Neodiprion lecontei: one gene and its partner. The protein of the gene in region 1 purifies or fractionates together with the protein of each later gene. This does not show direct contact. Links are inferred from orthologs where the notes say so. Each region holds a gene or a part of one and is shown on either strand. Other genes may lie near its edges.

Evidence for each region. The genes of interacting proteins can lie anywhere in the genome.
Region 2: the proteins of flap endonuclease 1 (region 1) and cell cycle checkpoint protein RAD1 purify together in Homo sapiens (affinity purification with western blotting; 3 studies listed by BioGRID). This does not show direct contact. The link is inferred for Neodiprion lecontei from reciprocal best matches to the Homo sapiens genes FEN1 and RAD1.

The regions. Positions count from the first base shown.
Region 1 is NC_060262.1:23,979,395-23,983,153, forward strand, and holds the start of flap endonuclease 1, read right to left. Parts: upstream 2,394-3,759; 5' UTR 2,181-2,393; coding exon 2,099-2,180; intron 1,599-2,098; coding exon 1,496-1,598; intron 859-1,495; coding exon 692-858; intron 589-691; coding exon 479-588; intron 1-478. UniProt on the Homo sapiens protein: Structure-specific nuclease with 5'-flap endonuclease and 5'-3' exonuclease activities involved in DNA replication and repair.
Region 2 is NC_060261.1:15,314,530-15,318,288, forward strand, and holds cell cycle checkpoint protein RAD1, read right to left. Parts: upstream 2,375-3,759; 5' UTR 2,241-2,374; coding exon 2,148-2,240; intron 2,064-2,147; coding exon 1,839-2,063; intron 1,767-1,838; coding exon 1,572-1,766; intron 787-1,571; coding exon 511-786; intron 421-510; coding exon 391-420; 3' UTR 85-390; downstream 1-84. UniProt on the Homo sapiens protein: Component of the 9-1-1 cell-cycle checkpoint response complex that plays a major role in DNA repair. The 9-1-1 complex is recruited to DNA lesion upon damage by the RAD17-replication factor C (RFC) clamp loader complex.

The sequences.
Region 1 (3,759 bases):
GTAAAAACTAAAACTCGAAAGCAGGACCTTTAAATCTTATCCAATTGAGCTCAAATTTCCAGGGAATATGTTTTTGATCATAAACAACCGCTTTATGAGGAAGCTGCATTGAAAAAAAAAATTTTTTTATATGGTGAACCACTGTAATATACACATATGTTTGTTTCTGTCTAGTGCCAAATGCAAAGAAAATACAAAGTTTGTTGAGGTAATTCTTACTGTTCCACCTAAATTCTGCTTCAACAAACAAAAACTATATGTTACATTCTGTATGAATTCGTCATAATTTTCTGTAATAGGTGGTATGGAATTTTTTGTACCACACCACTTATACCACTAGAAACGTGAAAATCTTTAAAAACCATCCTGATACTCATAGTAACTGTACTTTACATGACTGTTGAAAAGTATAAAAGTCGCCAAACCTCTCTTAAAAATTGAATGAGCTCTGAGATTGCTATATGTATGAGAATCTTACATCAATATATGGAACACCCATCAGCTTTAAGAGTTGTTTAGAATCTTCGGCATGTTGCTTCGTAACTTTAACTAGCCTTCTGTTGAATTTTTGAATATCCTCAGTATTTCCTATTTGACAAGATAAATGACATAAGCTATGGCGGCCTAGTATCCCAATAAATCATTTTTTAAAGCACAGAAAATGTCAAAGGATGGAATCTATTTAGATTACCAGCTGCTTCAGCAACTTCTAAGGCTTTCTGCGCCTCATCTCTCTTCTCCGCACGTTTTGCCAATTCCCCACCTTTCAAGTTTGGTGGTTTACCATCAAATACATAAACAGGCTTTATACCCTGTTCTATAAAGCGCAACGTTCTGTAGAATATACCCATCAAGTGACTGTAAATATCATTCAAATGATTTAATTAAATATTGTCGGACTACATGCACAAATTAAAAAATACTTTAATAATTAATATACGATTTAAATTTTTGTCAGCTACGAAAATTAGCTAATAAACTGAATTTTCATCTTGCAATATTAATTTAAATCACGATACTCCCAATAAAGACATCGTTGCAACTGTTGTGTTGATAATAATTACAAAAATCTGCTTCAACAAAAAGTTGCGGGTCTAGAATTTGTGACTGTAATTCAAGTAAGTTTGGCCTTTTTTATGCCGTCAATAGGGTTTTTTCATAAAAAGTTGTATCTTATGTCCAAAACCACAAAGTAGATATGATTTACGAGCCAAATTGCCGGTATCTGTTACCTGGTAAGAATCATGGAAAAAGACATGGAACGAGAGAGGTTTTCATAAATATAAGTAATAAAATGAAAAGCTGAAACAAATATGGAGTAGTGCAAGTAGATATGGTTTAAAAAAAGACATTGGTAAATGAAATCTAAATACAAAAATTCATACATAAATTATGATAAAATCCTGGTTCAATATTAAATTAAATCATCAAATTTCCCATTAACAAAACCGCTATCGTTGTGAAGGAAAATTAGAAACCAACACTTCTGGTATACCTTGTAGTTTCGCCATCAATAGATGTAAGCTGGGCCCCTTCGCTGCGCACCGCAATGAGAAACTGATAAAGACACATTGATGCATCAATGGCAATCTTACGACCTGCAAAAGTATACAACTAATAGGCAAAATGACACTTGCAACTTGAACCATTCGACAAATTGATGTTGGTATCAAGAGCTGTATATGATAGACCAAAACTAATTTTAACCCTCAAGAGGCGCACTGAGATACCCAGGGGTGAAGTTATATTTGGACAAACTTTAATGAATTCGTTTTCGTTCTTTCTGTTATATCAAGAATACTCTTTTTGTATAATCATTCCGTTAACACTATCTCTTTCTACACAGTCTGATCTTTAAATTGTAAAAAAAAAGTTGAAATAGATTATTTAAATCGTAATATATAAATGATTAAAGACACACGGGTATTGACATAGCCATGTGCTTACTGATTGTGAATCGGGAAGCCGCAATAGTACGCCTCGTGAGGGTTAAAAGAGAATATTGTATGAGTATAACAAGTGGATTCAAAGTAAATTGAAAATATATTTCTGGAACGGTGTGAACTTTGTTATTGATATTAATATTAATATTACGTACCGAAATAGTGCTTTATATCTTTTTCCTTTACAGCCGACGGTGCGACGTCTGCGATCAATTTAGATAATCCCAAAATACCCATGGCTTATGACAATATTGACTCGATAACTTAGAGAAAGTTGAGTATTCTCAGGCAAGGATTAATTTAAAAGAGCAGAATTTCACAATCAAGTGGCTCTGAACAACATCTCATTATTCACACAGTATACACAATGCATTTTTCGTCCCGCAACACAATACGTGCAACCAACCACTATTCACTCTTGCTATTCCCAAACCATTTACCCGCCATTTCGGAACTTGAAGTAGAGGCTGCCAACCGCACAGCTATGTATGTATAAGGCGCGTTCGGAAATTACTAGGCTCCAGGGAAATTAGCTTCCAGTACTGTCGACCATCTGTTACGTCTTTTGTGCTGCCGAGTTTGTGGGTACCTCTGCCAGCTAGTTCCGAAATGCACCTACAGGATATATACTAATCGTACTAATATACAGTATTCCATGGCATCATCATCATCACAAAATTCATAATATAGTAATAATATCATTAACAAAATAATGTCATAAATTTCGATTATCATCATTAAAATAATAATTGATTTTATTATTAATTATTAATTTATTATTATATATTAAATAAATAAAGATTATATAAATTTGATGATTTTACTATAACAATGTCGCCTTCCTACTTCCAGTCTTGGATTGATGACCCAAACACAACGCCGATCCCGCAGACCAGGGACAACCTTAGCTGCCTGTTGGTTTTTTACACAAAGTGAAATTGTGAATAAAAAAAAAACATGCAGGACATAGAAACAGATTCGTTGTACAAATTTTTCATAATCAACCAAAGTTAGTTTTAATCGAAATAAATCATTACAGTGTTGCGCTCTATACATATATCTCTAAGTCGGTACTAAGCGCTTTGCTTGAAGTTCCGCCGCGAATTACAATTTTCTGAAGCTAACTTTGATAGTGCCCTCCAGACGAGGAAGACTTCGCTATCAAGAACTGGGTGAGACGTGAAATTATGAGAGCGTACTGTATGATCCATTTACGATTAATACGTAATGCATACATACTATAAATTTTATAATTTTCCAGGAGACAAATTAGATTATCTACAATAATACGGCTATAATATGAAAATAGGAGAATAATTCATTTCGAAATGGGATTCTATTCGACACGCGCTCGATGTATTCCATAACATTAATATTCATAATTATTCCAACAACTTTTCATTTCCTCTCTCGATCTTGAAACTTCGTAGGCATAGAATCGAAACGCTGTTTCAGCTAGTCGCAAGTGAAGTATCTACGTTGGGTAGAGACGCAGAATTGTTTTTCGGAAAGCGTTCGGATGGAAAAAAATTCAGAGTAACTGTAATACATCACGGATGCGCTAATTTTGATCCAGATGAAATGGGTACTCCATATATGAGACAGTATTTAACGCAGTGTCCTGATTTAAAGACCTAAAAAGGTGATAGAGAATGAACGAAGCTGCTTAAAACTTCAAGTGTATTTTAACACACATTTGAAAGGTGTGAGCAAAATTTTTTATCATACAACTGCCGCAGAACGGCAGCGTTATTAGCTGACCCGTTAACTGAAGAATATATCTTTAGTCAACGGCTGACTATCGAAGGGCCTGGCC
Region 2 (3,759 bases), on another chromosome or scaffold:
GAATTTCTACGGGATTTGAAATCCTGCATATAATATTCCATCGAAAAATTCATTATTTCTGAGAAAGAACGATTAGTTTTTTTTACAACCTTATGTATTTGCTCGTCGAATGACTTTCATTATACATTACGCCTGATAATTGACCACGGAGAATTCAGTTCAGTTCAGAATTCACATGTTATAAATACACAAGCATATTAAAATATAAAACTTGCTTATCTCAAATGACATATTTGCCAAACTTAACTTCTAATAAGTAAATAAATTACAAAGAAACAAAAGTGTACTTAAACTTACAAGCCTCTGGAGGCTGCAGATAAGAAAAATGACCCAGTTTGTGGAACACGGTAGTAATAATCGATATTCAACTTTATACGTGATAGTATAATATCACTCGTCCATGTCCACAACAGGAGAGATCTGCAAAAAAAAATGTTTGAAAGTAAAAGTAAAATACACAGTTGTTTACCCAGTTCTTGGATTAAGTTTTGAAACAACTGTACGACTCACGTAATATTCTACGTAACACGTGTGGCCATCTTCTGCTTTGACCTTGTACTGGAAACAAAGCAGCCCATATTTGTCTGTTCTTATTGACACAATAATAGCACAGGATAATGGTTTCATAGCTGGTTTGAAATGAGTTAGTTTATAACATGAACTGGCCGTTGTGCTGCACTGAAAACTTTCTATAAGGTTACTATCGCGAGGTACTTCGACTTGGCACTCTCCAGCTATTCCATCTGTACTTATTCTCAAGTATGGCGGTTCAGGTGATAGTAAAAGCTGAAAGAAAATTTTAACATTCATCAATCGCCCATTGAAGAAGACGTGGAAGTCTAGATTAGTTGGCTCGTGTTGATAGACTCAAGGATAAATAGATCGTATCACCTGAACCAAATGTTAGGAAAGGAGAAAAAAAATACTGTTCAACAAATCTCCAGCAATGTCATTCGTGGTAAGAATATTTAACACGAATGAAACGATATCTTTATCTATGTAATGGAAATCAATTTGCACAGATTTGAATTAAATAAGCCTAAATATAAACAATTTGAGACAAGGCTTTACAATTAGAATGATCAAACTCTGGTGTTTTTGATCCAATATTGATTATTGTTTTTTGGGATTATTTTGTTGACCATGAAAATCTCCAATCCACATAAAAACAGAGTTGTGTTTAGGTAGGGTATAACAAATGTTTGTCAAGAATTACATTTGTGCACTGTAACTTTACTACAATGTAAAATTTTGGGAATATTTTTTGACAATTTGTGGAAGTCTGGTCAGCGAGCAAAATGAAATTAAAAACATTAGAATCAGATCCAAAATTCTTGCGTTTAATTATTTTGAGCATTCTAATTATAAAATCCTTCCTAAAATTGTTGATATCGTAGTTTATGATACTGTAATCTGCTCGGATGTATATCTATTACAGAGTAAGAATGTTGTTGCATTGGTGTTCACCATCATTGGCACAAATTACATTATTGGAAATTGTTCAAATGGCTCTTTCTCTTTTCCCAGCTTTTGATTCAGATGATACGGCCTATTTGTCATTAATGAATTACCTCTATCACATCACAGGTTGGATCTAGTTCCGACAAAACATCTTTGAGTAAATCGGTTTTGAGTAATACTTTGTTCAATACATTATCTTGAGCAAGATTGAAATCCAATAGTTCATCTGGTTCTTGAGTCTTCAGCGAACAATCAGTCACTATACCGTTTTCTTCAATGAGTACAGTTACAGGATACCCAACACCCTGCAATTCAGATCGAGCTGTAATCTGATTTCGTTCTGAAGTGACAAACCTTATGTATTCACTTCTACCCACCCTATAAAATAATTGCAGAGCAACCGAGCTACCCTGAGTGTTTATTTCTCCCCAAAACATACACAGGCACTCGACTAATACTGACAAATTAATTCTGAATATCACATCCTCTTTCAAATTGAATTCTTCAAATATTTCTGTAGGAATATACGCACTTGCTTGCATACATTTTGCATCCTCAACCGTTACTTTCAGTCCATTGTATGTGCCAAAACATGTAGCGGTCTGAAATTTTTATGAATTACACCATTTGTTTCTAGCTGCATAGCTGAATGCTGTTATAAATTTCATCAAAAATAGCATGCACACCTCTTTGAAGTTGACCGCTTTCAGTAGTTGAACAACAGTCTTAAGATTTTTCAGCTTTGCAACTAATTGATAAATCGCAGTGTCTTGACTCATTTTGTCAAAATGTTACATGGAACCTCATCAAATCACGAAACAGCGGTGATGCAATTTCTTGTACAGAAAGTTTCTCGTTATCAACAGAAGATAGCCAAGCTGCTAAAATATGTTTACATGTATGTTCTGCTTGATCATTGAGAACACGATACCTGTAATGTATTTTTTATAATTAATATTTTTCAGCCCTTGAGTCAAAAAAGTTTCAGAAATTCGAAAGACTTAGCCAGTCTATTTATCTAATGGTATACCTGAATGATGCACAGCTGCAGAAATTAACTTCAGGAAATAATGTATATATTTCACCAGATATGCCTGTCACTTGCAATAGCCACCGAGCATCATTCACACTATTTCCTGGCTCAGATTTAACGCAAATCTTTTTTACTCTTGCCAATTCGTATAGCTCAAGAGCACGCTCAAAAGTTGAACCAAATATGCCGTAAAGTCGCAGCAACGATTCGTCAGAAACTAGCATTAAATAAATGGAATGAATTAAGTATGCAACCAAATAATATTGGGAGATTTGAACAGTACTTTTCAAAATTTTCATGGCTATTTCTCCCACGATAATATTAAAAGGAAATGTATCACAAATATGATGTACATTTATTTTCACTTGCAAACTTCTCATAGACTTCATGCAGGACCTGCTTTGATGCCAGCGATAAACTTGTGTCGGCCCCCTGAGGTTTGCTTTTACTTATAAAAAGTAACTTTGCATCCAAAGACATTTCATCATGCTCGTTGTTCAACAATTAATGACTGTTATGTTCGAATACAAAGCTTGCGAATTCAATAGCAACTGTGGGTATCAGTAAATGTGTTCAAAGATGAATGAGTCGCACCATCTGAATAAGTTAGGAAAAGAGAAAAATCTCCAGCAATGTCATGAACTCTGTGTTTATGATCTGATTCCAATATTTTTGAGCTTATTTTGTTGACCATAAAATCACTATGGTGGCTGTTTAACAGAAATCGTGGGAAAAGCATTCAAGAAATCTTACATTATGACATAGTATTAATGTGCAAATATAATTGTTGACGAGAATCTATTGTACTGTAAGTACACAAATTCAACATTTAACTAATTGCAAAATTTTCTTTAGGTAATCTCTGGAGATCTCTATTGTGAAGATAATAAGCCCAAAATCGTTGGATTGAGATAAAAAATATCACAGTGTTTAATCATTTTGCACGGTTTAATTTTTTTTTACGTTTGCATATTGTTGATGTCTTAGCTTGTTTTATTTCAATTTGCTCAAATTCATCTGTAATGCGCAGTAGGAATATTTTTTCATTCATCTTCACTATCACTGGAAAAAATAACATTGCTGGAGATGTTTCAAGACTTTTTTGACGTGGGGTATTCTGCGACCCCGGCAGTGTGCAGCGGTCAGGGTTGAGGCTAACACCCACTTCAGTTGAAGCAGAAAAAGAAATTTCCGACGAACGAACATTACTCTGATTGTGAGTAAAAGTATGTGAAAGTGACAGTTTTTTTAATTTTTTGTAAATA